2 linked regions of the Yarrowia lipolytica genome follow. The protein of the gene in region 2 interacts with the protein of the main gene of each other region in a pairwise test. Links are inferred from orthologs where the notes say so. Each region holds a gene or a part of one and is shown on either strand. Other genes may lie near its edges.

Region 1 (5,116 bases), about 2.4 Mb from region 2:
TGGTTTCACTACTCAGCAGCTTGAGACAGGCCTTTCGAACCTTGGAGTAGTCATCCTCCCCGACGGCACATTGAGAAGACACGTATGTGTGCTCGCCAATATTAGATCGTAGAGTTGTGGCATCATTTGGCAGGATCAGCTGGCAATTTGCGCACGTCGAACACTCGTTTGGTGTGGTCTCCTTCGTTTTCTGACAACACAGTATCGAAGTCGGGCCATGCAAGTCGCAGAAATGTGCAAAACAGAGCTGGTTAGTGCTTGTTGTGTTCGTTGCAACCCTTAGGAAGCCTTATCCTCTCCCCATACTCACCAGTAGTGCCATGATTTGGTGCAAAAAGGTGTTGGTGGATGCGTTAATGAAAGTTGTTGTTCTGCACGTCTGCCCCAGATTAAGAACTTTATCATGACCCATCACAGCAAAAAAAATTGACAAAAAATTAGCGATGCCTGGTTTCGATCCAGGGACATCAGGGTTATGAGCCCTGCGCGCTTCCGCTGCGCCACATCGCTGGGTTTTTTTTAATTGAACTTTTTTTAGAATCTCCCAAGCTAAAATCAGTGTCACGTGACCCCTTAAAACTCAGATTTTTGAAGTGCCATTATGTCATTTAAAATGCAATTAAGGGTGGAAATGAGTAGACAGGAGTGCTAAACCGGCAATTCTTTATCTGGTAGGAGGGCCTTTTTTATGATAATTTGGGGGTTAGGTCAAATTCGATGCGTCGTTATGACATCTAAACCGGGTACAAGTAGCTACCTAAAGAGAGTGTGTTCCAGTGTTGGTCAACAATGGTATGGTACTTGTACTTGTACTTGTAGACAATTAAACCAAAATTATACCACCGACTATCAAGCGCAGCACACACATAGACATGCACCTTCTGTAGCCGCTTCATATTATTTCTCATATCGGGTTGATGTGATGTTATTACTGCATACACGTAGACCTCCACTTACAGAGACAGAACTGTCATAGTTTCGTCCCAAGAAGAAGATAGGACACCCACTCCGTCTGGGGAGACCTTTACTTTGGTAACAGGACCAAGATGCTTCGTGATTGGGCCGAGGTAGGTGCATTTGATGGTGTCCCAAGCTACCACTTCACCTGTGTCATGGCCACAGAACATGATCCGTCCTGAGGGTGTTACAGCCACCGAGTTGACAGGAGACATTATGTCTGGGGCACTATAAATGTTCATTTGGCAATCAGTTCTCATGTCAAACAGTCTTGCAGTTGAATCGTCACCTCCAGAGAGAACTGCATTTCCATCGGGAAAGAAGTCCACTGAAGTTACATCCTTATTGTGCCCCTGAAAGGTCTGGACACATCTGGCGATTCGGAGATCCCAGATCTTGACTGTTTTATCGTTGGAAGCCGTGGCGACAATCTGCATCTTAGAGGGGTGTTTGGTCACAGAAGAGACGTCTCCTAGATGGTCATACAGGGTCGAAACACGTCGGCCTGTATTGACATCCCAGATGCAGCATGTCATGTCTCCGGAGGCTGAGATGATCTGTTGGTCAGTCAGGAAACACAAGTCCGCCACATATGCAGAGTGTCCCTTGAGAATGGCCATGGGCTCGCTTTTGGTAAGTCCCTTCATTCTGGTCGACGACCCTGAACCGTAGGGAACAGAAGGGTCTGTCTCATCAGCCGACTGAGTCATGGAGTGGATTGAGACCCTGTTATCTAGACCACCCGATGCCAGGTAGCCACACGAGGGAGGTAATGCACAGGAGAGCACGTAGCAGCTTGGAAGAAGGAAGACTCTGGACTTTAGAGACGAGTAGGCGTCCCACATGAGAGCCAGACCGTCCATAGCTACACTGAGCACATATTGTGAGTTGGAGGCCCAGTCGCAGCTGTTTATCTTGCCTCTGTGTCCCTTGAGTTTGTGTCGCACCTTCAGGGGGGTTGAACTGATGGGCCGGAGGTCTGTGGCAAGACTTGGAAGGGTGGCATTCATAAATTGGCTTCTCTGATGAACAATGTTCTCTCTCATGGCGGCACATTTGCCTTTGAGTAACGACAGCCGCTCATGGAGATCTTCAACGGTGGGGGAGGGGGGAGTATCTGGCCGGAGAATATCTGTCATTTTCGCGCGTGGATGAGTTCAAGTTGGTTGCAATTTCTAGTGTGGGGGACTCCACCATGCAAATACCAATTCGTGTCTGCCACATTGATTCCCCGTTATAGCTGCGTGCATGCTTACTGCATGAGCTCTGCGGAGTAGATGCGGAGTAGATGCGGAGTAATATACAATATACATATAGCAAGGCGACACAAGGAAGGGCCACAAACGGAACACCCAAAAAATTTACATAAGTGGGTCTTCAAATAATAAAACGTTTGGCAAATATTATCATTACTGTGCTGATCAGGAGGATAAAAGTATAGTTTAGTTGGCATGAAAATATTGTGTGTGTGTTATCGTGTGTAATTATCTCGTTGAGCCCCACAGATGCTCCACCACTTGACTTGTTCCTATAGACCAGATATGGTCAATTGCCGAATATGAAGAAATTATGCAGGGTTCGAAGATGGGAGGTGCAATGGGACCACTTTTTATCAAACGGCCCCAACAGCAACGAAGGAGGAGACTCAGCTGTGTAATCTACCTTTATGATCTTCGCTCTGTAGACTCGCTAGTATAAGGTACCGGGTAGACGACGAGTATGTATACATGTATACATGTGCTTGTCACCACCAATCTAAAAGAGCTTGTTGAAGTGACGGTCAGGGGCGTATGAAGATGGTGAAAATGACGTTATTTTATTAGAATGCGGAGGTTTGTGCTTGCTGTAGAGAACCGACCTCGGCCTATTATCAAGTGCAGCTTCTCACACACACCTGTAGATCCCACTGGAGTCTCTTCATGGTTACAATTCTCCAAGGGGTGGAGGAAGCGATTAGGTGGAGTAGATTTACACAATTTCCTGCACAAATGGCACTCTGAGCTGCTACGATTCGGACCGTCAAGTGCCCATTACCCGATCAGACCTGCTATTGTGTTCTTTTCAACTTTTCCAGCAACACCACCGCCAACTTTATCCGTTGATGTAACACTGGCAATTTGCACATTGGAAAAAGGAAAACCATACTGCAGCCGGCAAGCTCAAAGTCACTACTTGTACCATTGGCGCTTCTCTCGGCCGTTGTAACAGCTTAATGGAGCCATCGAAGGGCCGTAGCAACTCACAGGCCAAGCCTATTCAAGATTGACACAGAGCAAGGTCTTGTTATGCGTTCTGTCGAGGTGAAACCAATATTTTTTGACAGCCAAAAATAGCGGGCAAATGCAACCAATTAATAGACCCTGGAAGTCTTCATGCTTGGCCTTGCACACCTTAATCTACACCAACAAGATTCTCTCATGTAATGAGACAAAAATATTTTATACGATCGTCAGTGAGTCAAGGCAAGTTATGGTATAGAGATGTAGAAGTAGTCCCACAGTGTGTACAGGGCCCGACATTCTTCACCCTCCAAGGTACAACATTGGCCTTGTACTATGTACTGTACTGTACTCAGGAGTAGCCCAAAGGAAACGAAAAACAACCCTATCGCTGTGTTCCTGCCGTATTCCATCTCCCCGCGCCTATCAAACTCGGTTGATCGTCGCTTCTTTGTTAGGTGAAAAATCAAGGGTCTATGTTTAAATAAAAATGATGGCTTATATAGAGTGCGTGGGCGAGACTGCTCCTCGAATCCGCTCCTGCTCTTCACCTTGGACACCACCACTGAGCACCACATGCGGCAAGATCTTGTCCAAATGACACCACGTGTTGAGAGGCATTCGGTACATGGCTAGCTTCTCCGTCAGCTCCCGCAGATACTGGTACGTCCAGTCGCGCTTCTGCCCATTGAGCACTCCGAGCACGTGGAATGAGTTGGACGAGTCTCCCAGCGTCACCTTGGAGTAACTCCTGTTGTTGGTGTCGACAAACATCTGACCAGTGATGACAGGGGTGCGGGTATCGAGCAGGGGCATCAGCGAAAAGTCGCGTCTGTACGACAGGTCTAGCCTGGTCTTACCAATCGGCACAAATTGAGAAGATGCATTCATGGCCCATTCAACCAGCTGGTTTCGATACAGCAAAAAGAAGCGGTTATCTACTATGAAGGGATGATGCTGATGTTGCGGATGCGTGGGGCCATGGGGGGATATCGTTGAACAGAGACGGAACGTCTTACTGTTGGCCCAGTCAACCCAGAAGAAGTCATTCCGCTTCAACACAGGGTCCTCAAGCGAGTTGGAAATGCAAATAAAGGTGTCGTGGCCGTACACAAATACACGGGCGGACTCGGAACACGGCATGTGTATGCGAATAGATTGTGTTTTGATGTTATTCCGGCGACCTGGAGCAATGCACTTTTGTCGCAACAGCTCGTATTCCTCACACAAGCCAATGGAGCCGGTACTGGAGTCAGAAGTAGAGCCAGCACTACTGCTGCCCGAGTGACCCAACCGATGCCATTCCATTTCGGGAGACATGCCTGGAGCCAGTTTAGTGGAGCGTAAGCGAAGCAGAGCCGTGAGATATCCGTCGTACATGGCCTTGGACACGTGGAAGCGGCGAATTACACGGTCATCCTCCAGTATATTTCTAACTACTCTCCAAAACCACGTTTTGCGGGCGTAATTGAGTTCTTGAACACCGTCTACCGGAGGGGTGTACACATTTGATGCATAGTCGCCATAGGTTTGTGGATAGATGGGGAAGTTGTGGGTGAAGACAATCTGGCGGCGAAAGCACAGTTTTGTTTCGTATTCGTCGGATATTGCTCGGGATATCGACAGCGTTCCGTCAGGGAAGATGTCTGCATATAGGCTTGCTTCGGGTGCGAGGTTGTGGTTGATGGTTTGGACCGGCTCAGGCTCCTCGGCGTACTCTACTAACGGCAGGGAGGCCAGTCCGTCTGTGGGAGAGGTCAGATCCAGGGCGTCATGGTAGGAGGTGTGGTGGTAGTCGGCTTGGTGATGGTGTCGTGCATGTCCATGCATGGTGTCTCTACGACGCAGTTCGGCCATGGCGAGGGAGAGCCATCCCGCTGCGCTGGACCCGTCGGCTGGTTGCATCCATGGTGCACAGAGAGCCCTGGCGGCGGTGAGAG
Region 2 (5,995 bases):
TCTCGATTGATAGCGGCCGAGCAGCCGATATCTTCGCTTCGGAATGGATGCAGCAGTTCAAAATGACCCCTTCGATGACACATTCCGAACCTACCATGCTGGCCATTCTAGACTGTCTGTCTTCAGCCTGTGTTTCGAAACAGTGCCGAGAGATGATTGGCGCAAAGTTCGAGAAGGACCTCGTGCAATTGCTGCAAGCAACTGTTTCGCAAAAAATCAAATTGTACACTGCCACCATTCTCACCAAGCTGAGCTTCAAGCCAAAGGATCCCAAGCCCAAGGGAAGCGAGCCCCAGCAGGAGGAGCTACTTTCGACCCTGGAGTCGCTATCGTCCATTTTTGAGCAGTCTGTTCCCGACAAGGATCTCAGAAAACAGGCTGTGGAGGGTCTCGCGTATACCTCTCTGGACCAGAATGTGCGAATGGGCATCATTGTGAACGACGAGCTGCTCAAACAGCTCGTGGAGTGTCTCAAGTCCAACGACTCGTCGCTGGTCTACGGAGCCCTGTCTGTGTTTGCCAACTTGGCAGTCTATCCTCCTCGTCTGTCTCCTGATCAAAAGAAAGTGGCTGACTTGAAGAAGTATGCCGAGGCTGTCCAGGAGAAAGAAGAGGAGCTTGCACAGATCACCAAACAGACTGACAAACGTTGCAAGATTCTCGTAGACTTGAAAATCCCAGCTATTCTGTCAGCTCTAGTTAACAAGCTGAAACCCAATGCTCGTTCTGTAGCAGGTACTATTCTGACATCCCTGGCCGAGCAAAAGAGTCTGAGAGGCGTTCTGACGCAGCAAGGAGCGGTGGCTACGCTTCTGTACATACTTTGCGACACTGACGCGCAGCTGGAGCCCGCCTCCAAGGTATTCATCACCTCGGGGCTGGCCAAGCTACTGGTTTCTACCAATCCTAGTCTTGTTTTCGGCGCCAAAATCTCAGCCTCGGTGGCTGTCATTCCTCTGTTGGCCAACATAGACAACGACTTTTCGCCCCTCCCTCTTTTGGATTCATTCGAGTCTGCCCTAGCTCTAACCAATCTCGCCTCTTTTGACGATACCACCCGAAAGGTGATTATCAGCCACGGATGGGAGAAGATTGAAAACATGATGACTTCGCAGAACCCCATGGTGCAACGAAGTGCCGTGGAGCTGGTCTGCAACCTATCGCTTTCGCCCTACTGTGCCGAGAAGTATCTTGACGGAAGTAAGGCAGCCAACTCGCGTCTCAATCTACTGGTTGCTCTGACAGATCTATCTGATGAAGCGGGACGTCTAGCGGCTATGGGTGCTCTAGCCATGCTGTCCGAGTGGGATCCTGCTCCTCCCATTATGGTCAAGAACGAGAAGCTGATGGCCTGTCTGCAGCGCATTCTGGACAAAGATACAGAGGTGGAGATGATCTACCGAGCTGTGGCGTTAGTGGGCAATCTTTCGCAAAAGGAAGGAGGCAAATTGGGCTCTCTCAAACCTGGCCTATTGAGAGTCAAGTCTATGGTGAAGGACATGACAGCAGAGGTCGATGACATTCTTACTAGACTCAAGTAGAGGGCCAATTAGAACACTGTAGACACGGCTAAATAACGATTGATCAAAGAATGTGTCCGAGCTACTACAAGAAGGACAGTATGTAGGTACGCGGTAGCTGCAGTCACACGATGTCTCGAACTGTATTGGAAAGCAAAGTGGACGGACCTGGTGAACCCTCCTGTTTTTGAACCCTGCTAATGATTTGAAATGCCTCTTCTATGTGCTCTATCAAATGTCGCACACTTTTAGAGAGGCTGGTGGACGAGGGATGAGAAGGTCCCAATGACCAGAATGTACCAGTGTACACGTTACCACTTGGTTCTAAATACCTCACGCTATTACTAAATGGCTGGTATTTACTTTTGTTGTATCACGGACTGTACAACCCGTACTCCGGATGAGCTTCAGTTCATACGGTGCATACACGGCGTTGTGCTGTATGGTCTTTGCATGGAAGTGGTTGCTGTGGCGACAGGGCGCTCTCGTACACCTATCGTATGTACAGGCTTGTATTTACAGTCTGTAGCTAGCTACATGCTGTATAATTAGCAGCTCAGGTACCAACACTAATGCCCCTTCTTGCTATCTACAGTAGTGCTCGCCAGATCAATCTACCTGTACGTACAGCCCGGTCTCGGGGACAGTGATTTATTTAGACCCTTGCAACTTGCTTTTTCTCGGTGCGTAAATCCGTGATTTTAGTGAACTTTTTTTGCCAACAGAGCCAAATGAAAATTTAATCTGATTGCATGCCCCTGGCGAGCGTTACAGACGAGGAGGTGCCAAGCCGGCAATGTGGGAGGTGCAGTACAAGAGTCGAGACTACTAGTTGGAGGCTGAGTCGTGGCTGTGCATGAAGCGGCTAAGCGGAGCGGGAGCTCATGGCGCGTCACGTGACGGACTGCCGCCCTCCAACTATCTCTATTTTTTACAGCTCCATGTACCAGGCAAGACCACTCTAAGCTGCTTCACTTTGTCTTATTTTGCCTTCGTCTGCCTGGCGATTATTCTGCCCTTGCCTGTGGATTAAGGTGGTGTTGGGACATAGCGCAAATACACTGCACACACGTACAGGCTCAGACGCGTAAGTAGGCTGTACACACCTGTACACCTCACCCACACCCACCAAGTTCTTCTCAACCAGCTTGCTCACACGCCATGAGCACCGACGCAGAACTACAGACCATCTCGGGCCTCTCGGTGGCGTCCAAAAGCGCCCCGAGCACCCAGACCGAAGGAGTGACCGCCAGTGGCAAAGTGGAGTCGACTACCAACGCCGAAGAGGCCACCAGTGACGTGGAAGAGGAGGAAAACCCGCTGGTGGTGGCAGCCCGAGACGGCAACACCGCCGAGGTCAAGCGGCTATGTGAATCGGGCAGCTATTCGGTTCTGGACACCGCTGAGGATGGAGTGACTGCTCTCCATTGGGCGGCAGTCAACAACCGAATCAGCACGTGCCAGTATCTGGTAGAACAGGGAGCGGTGGTGGACGCCAAAGGAGGCCAGCTGAATGGCACGCCACTACACTGGGCTTGTCGCCGGGGACTGGTGTACATTGTACACTACCTGATCCAGAACGGAGCCGATCCGCTGAGATCAGACGTCCAAGGCTACAACGCTCTGCATCTCGCCACCCATTCGTCCAACGTCATGCTGCTGGTTTACCTGTTGCATCAGGGCCTTCCTGTCGATTGCCAGGACCCAAATGGGCGAACCGCTCTGCATTGGGCAGCCTACCAGGGAGACGCTCTGTCGGTAGACGTGCTGCTGAGATGGGGCTCGGACGTGAAGATCACAGACACCCAGGGCTTTCTGCCATTACATTGGGGTATTGTCAACGGCTCGCGAAACTCGCTTGCCCGTCTCATCGAAGAAGGATCCGACATGTACGCCAAAAGCAGTGACGGAAAAACTCCCCATGTCATGGCCGCTGAAATGAACACCACCGCACAGCTGGAGGGCGCTCTCGACGACTGTGGACGGTTCCCCGACGGTAGCCAAAAAACAAAATACTTCGACGCCCGAACCACTAATCTCTTGTGTTTCTTCACCCCCTTCATTCTCATTTTATTGGGCCTGGTGCTGTGCACCTTCTGTGGCCCCATTTTTGGGATCATTCTCACCGTGGCGACCCTGTTCGGATCTATTAAACTGCTAAAGACACTTGTGCTACCGTCTCTTTACAACGGACATGCTGCTCTACTGAAATCACCCTTCCAGGCAGGTATATTCACGGGCTCGGCCTTCTGGGTGACAGTCAAGTACCTAACTTCCGTCCTTCCGGCTACTTTTGCCTCCCACCCCATTCTCAACTTTTTCTTCGCCTCCATATTTGGTCTGGCCATGTACTGCTTCTTCAGATGCATGTCCATGGACCCCGGATATATCCCCAAGCTTTCTGGCATCACCGAGCAGAAGGAGGTCATCGAGACGCTCATTGAGCGGGGCGAGTTTGACACGCGACACTTTTGTTTCGTTACCTACGTGCGAAAGCCGCTGCGGTCAAAGTTCTGTAGACAGTCGAAACGAGTCGTGGCCCGGTTCGATCACTTTTGCCCCTGGGTGTGGAACGCCATTGGAGTCCGAAACCACCGCATGTTTGTGCTCTACGTGCTGTTTCTGCAGATTGGCATTCCTCTCTGGTTGGCTCTCAACAGCGCCTACTTTGGAGAGCTGCTTGAAATCAAGCGATGGGATCCCCTGGAGTTCTACCTTGTCATCTGGATCTCACTGCAACTCATCTGGATCACGTTCCTGTCCTTTGTGCAGATTTTCCAGATCTGCAGGTCACTCACCACCTCCGAAGCCGTCAACCTGCAAAAGTACGGCTACATGGGTGCTGATGACTACTCGTCGGTCCCTCTAGACCACTCTGCCGCCACAGCATCAGCCAAGTCCGTTATGAACGCCCATGGACACGCTGCAAAGTCGCCCTGCTTTTCCTCGGTGCTCAAACTGCTTGGAGTCGATCAGTTTGTGGCTACTGCAGGTGAAGCCATCAAGCATCGGGACAATCGGTCGTGGAAGGAGAAGAACCCCACCGACTCGGGCGCCGGAACTAACTGCTTCGACTTCTGGTTCCCTAATGGCAAGTTTGACCTCCTGGCAGTGTTTGAAGCTGGTAAGGGTGGAGGAGCCATTGGAGGCCATGCGGTGGACTACTACAAACTGTGGGACTTCCCCGATGTGTCTCCCAACCAGCAGCAGACCAACAACCGGTCCACTCGAGAAGATGGAGAGGCTCTTCTGGCCGAGTCTCAAGTTTGAGCATTGATAGATAGAGGAACGCTAACGTATATAATAAGCTTGTATAAAGAGAGAGTGTGTGAGAAACGTACTTGTACTTGTACATGTGCAAATATTTGAGTATACAGTATGACAGAAATTCATTTTTGAGTACTCCTTGTACTTCTCATAAGAGACACTCAAAACTACAATCAATGTTACTGAGTTTTGTTGAGTCTCTCTACTACAAGTAGTAAGTACAAGTATGTACTAGTATTTATTTTTTAAACTTTCAGACGCACAAGTTTTACACCACCTAAACAAGATCACCATACTTGTACTTGTATGCCAAATAGCCATAACTCATAATAAATTTACAGTACAAATACATATCCAACCCATCCGACCATTAGTAATTCCCCTTTTCTCCTCTTCAAATCACATACTCTCCCTGTTCCATCAACTGCAATGCTTTTTCCGTGGGGTTTCGAACCCGTCCTGACCGGCTCGTTGGAGACATTGAAAACGACATACTGAGAGGCTCCTTCTTCACTTTTGGAGACATCGATGGAGTCTTAGTTGCTGCTGGACTCGGTCTCTTCGCCTCAGGTGTCTTCTCGGGAGGGATTTCTTCTTCCCGAGAAGACTTTCGGGGTCTACCTCTTCCTCTAGGAGTCGGCGTGGACCCAGCAGGACTAGGAGTAGATGCATCAACACCGTCCGCAACTCTGGTTTCAGCCACCTCAGCCTCCTCCGCCTCCTTCTGTCTCCTCTCCATTGCCAGCTTTTGCTTCCAATGTAGCTTCTTCACCTTCGGGGTGCCTGTTGACGGAGTTTCTACTGTCGGAGTATTTACTTCCACTTTCTCATGTCCCACGGTTCCCCTTCGAGCTCTCTTCCAAGCTCGTTCCTCTCGTGAAAGCTGAGCCACATTGTCCCGCATCTCAACAGGCTCAGGAGCCGACTTTCTCGACCGCTTGGGTTTCTCCGGCAGCATAGAAACCCGTCCAGACCGTGTCTGTCGACCGGCCTGACTCCACTTCTTCAGCTCCTTCGGACTCATGTCCTCAATGCGCATACTGGTGATTTCCTGGGCAGGCTCCTCTTTGGTGTACTCCCACGACCAGGCCAGCGACTTGCGCTTCTTCTGCACCAACAAACCGTCCTCCTCGAAAATCTTACGATTTTTGGCACCAAACTGCTGAGCCACCTGTGGCTTGGAGAGACCCCAGTCCTCGTCCTCAAGC

What was found. The genes of interacting proteins can lie anywhere in the genome.
Region 1: the proteins of YALI1_E25761g (region 2) and YALI1_E01904g interact in binary tests that used the Saccharomyces cerevisiae proteins (3 or more experiments, as listed by UniProt). The link is inferred for Yarrowia lipolytica from reciprocal best matches to the Saccharomyces cerevisiae genes AKR1 and STE4.

What each region holds. Positions count from the first base shown.
Region 1 is NC_090774.1:188,310-193,425, forward strand, and holds YALI1_E01904g (uncharacterized protein), read right to left. Parts: upstream 2,097-5,116; coding exon 954-2,096; downstream 1-953. Other genes in the region: YALI1_E01885g (uncharacterized protein), read right to left, coding at 1-247, 311-412; YALI1_E01935g (uncharacterized protein), read right to left, coding at 3,675-5,116. UniProt on the Saccharomyces cerevisiae protein: Implicated in the a- and alpha-factor response pathway. The beta and gamma chains of the putative yeast mating response pathway G protein play a positive role in initiation of the mating response.
Region 2 is NC_090774.1:2,573,476-2,579,470, forward strand, and holds YALI1_E25761g (uncharacterized protein), read left to right. Parts: upstream 1-2,681; coding exon 2,682-4,790; downstream 4,791-5,995. Other genes in the region: YALI1_E25729g (uncharacterized protein), read left to right, coding at 1-1,541; YALI1_E25812g (uncharacterized protein), read right to left, coding at 5,182-5,995. UniProt on the Saccharomyces cerevisiae protein: Palmitoyltransferase specific for casein kinase 1. Palmitoylates isoforms YCK1 and YCK2 at both C-terminal cysteine residues, which is required for their proper plasma membrane localization.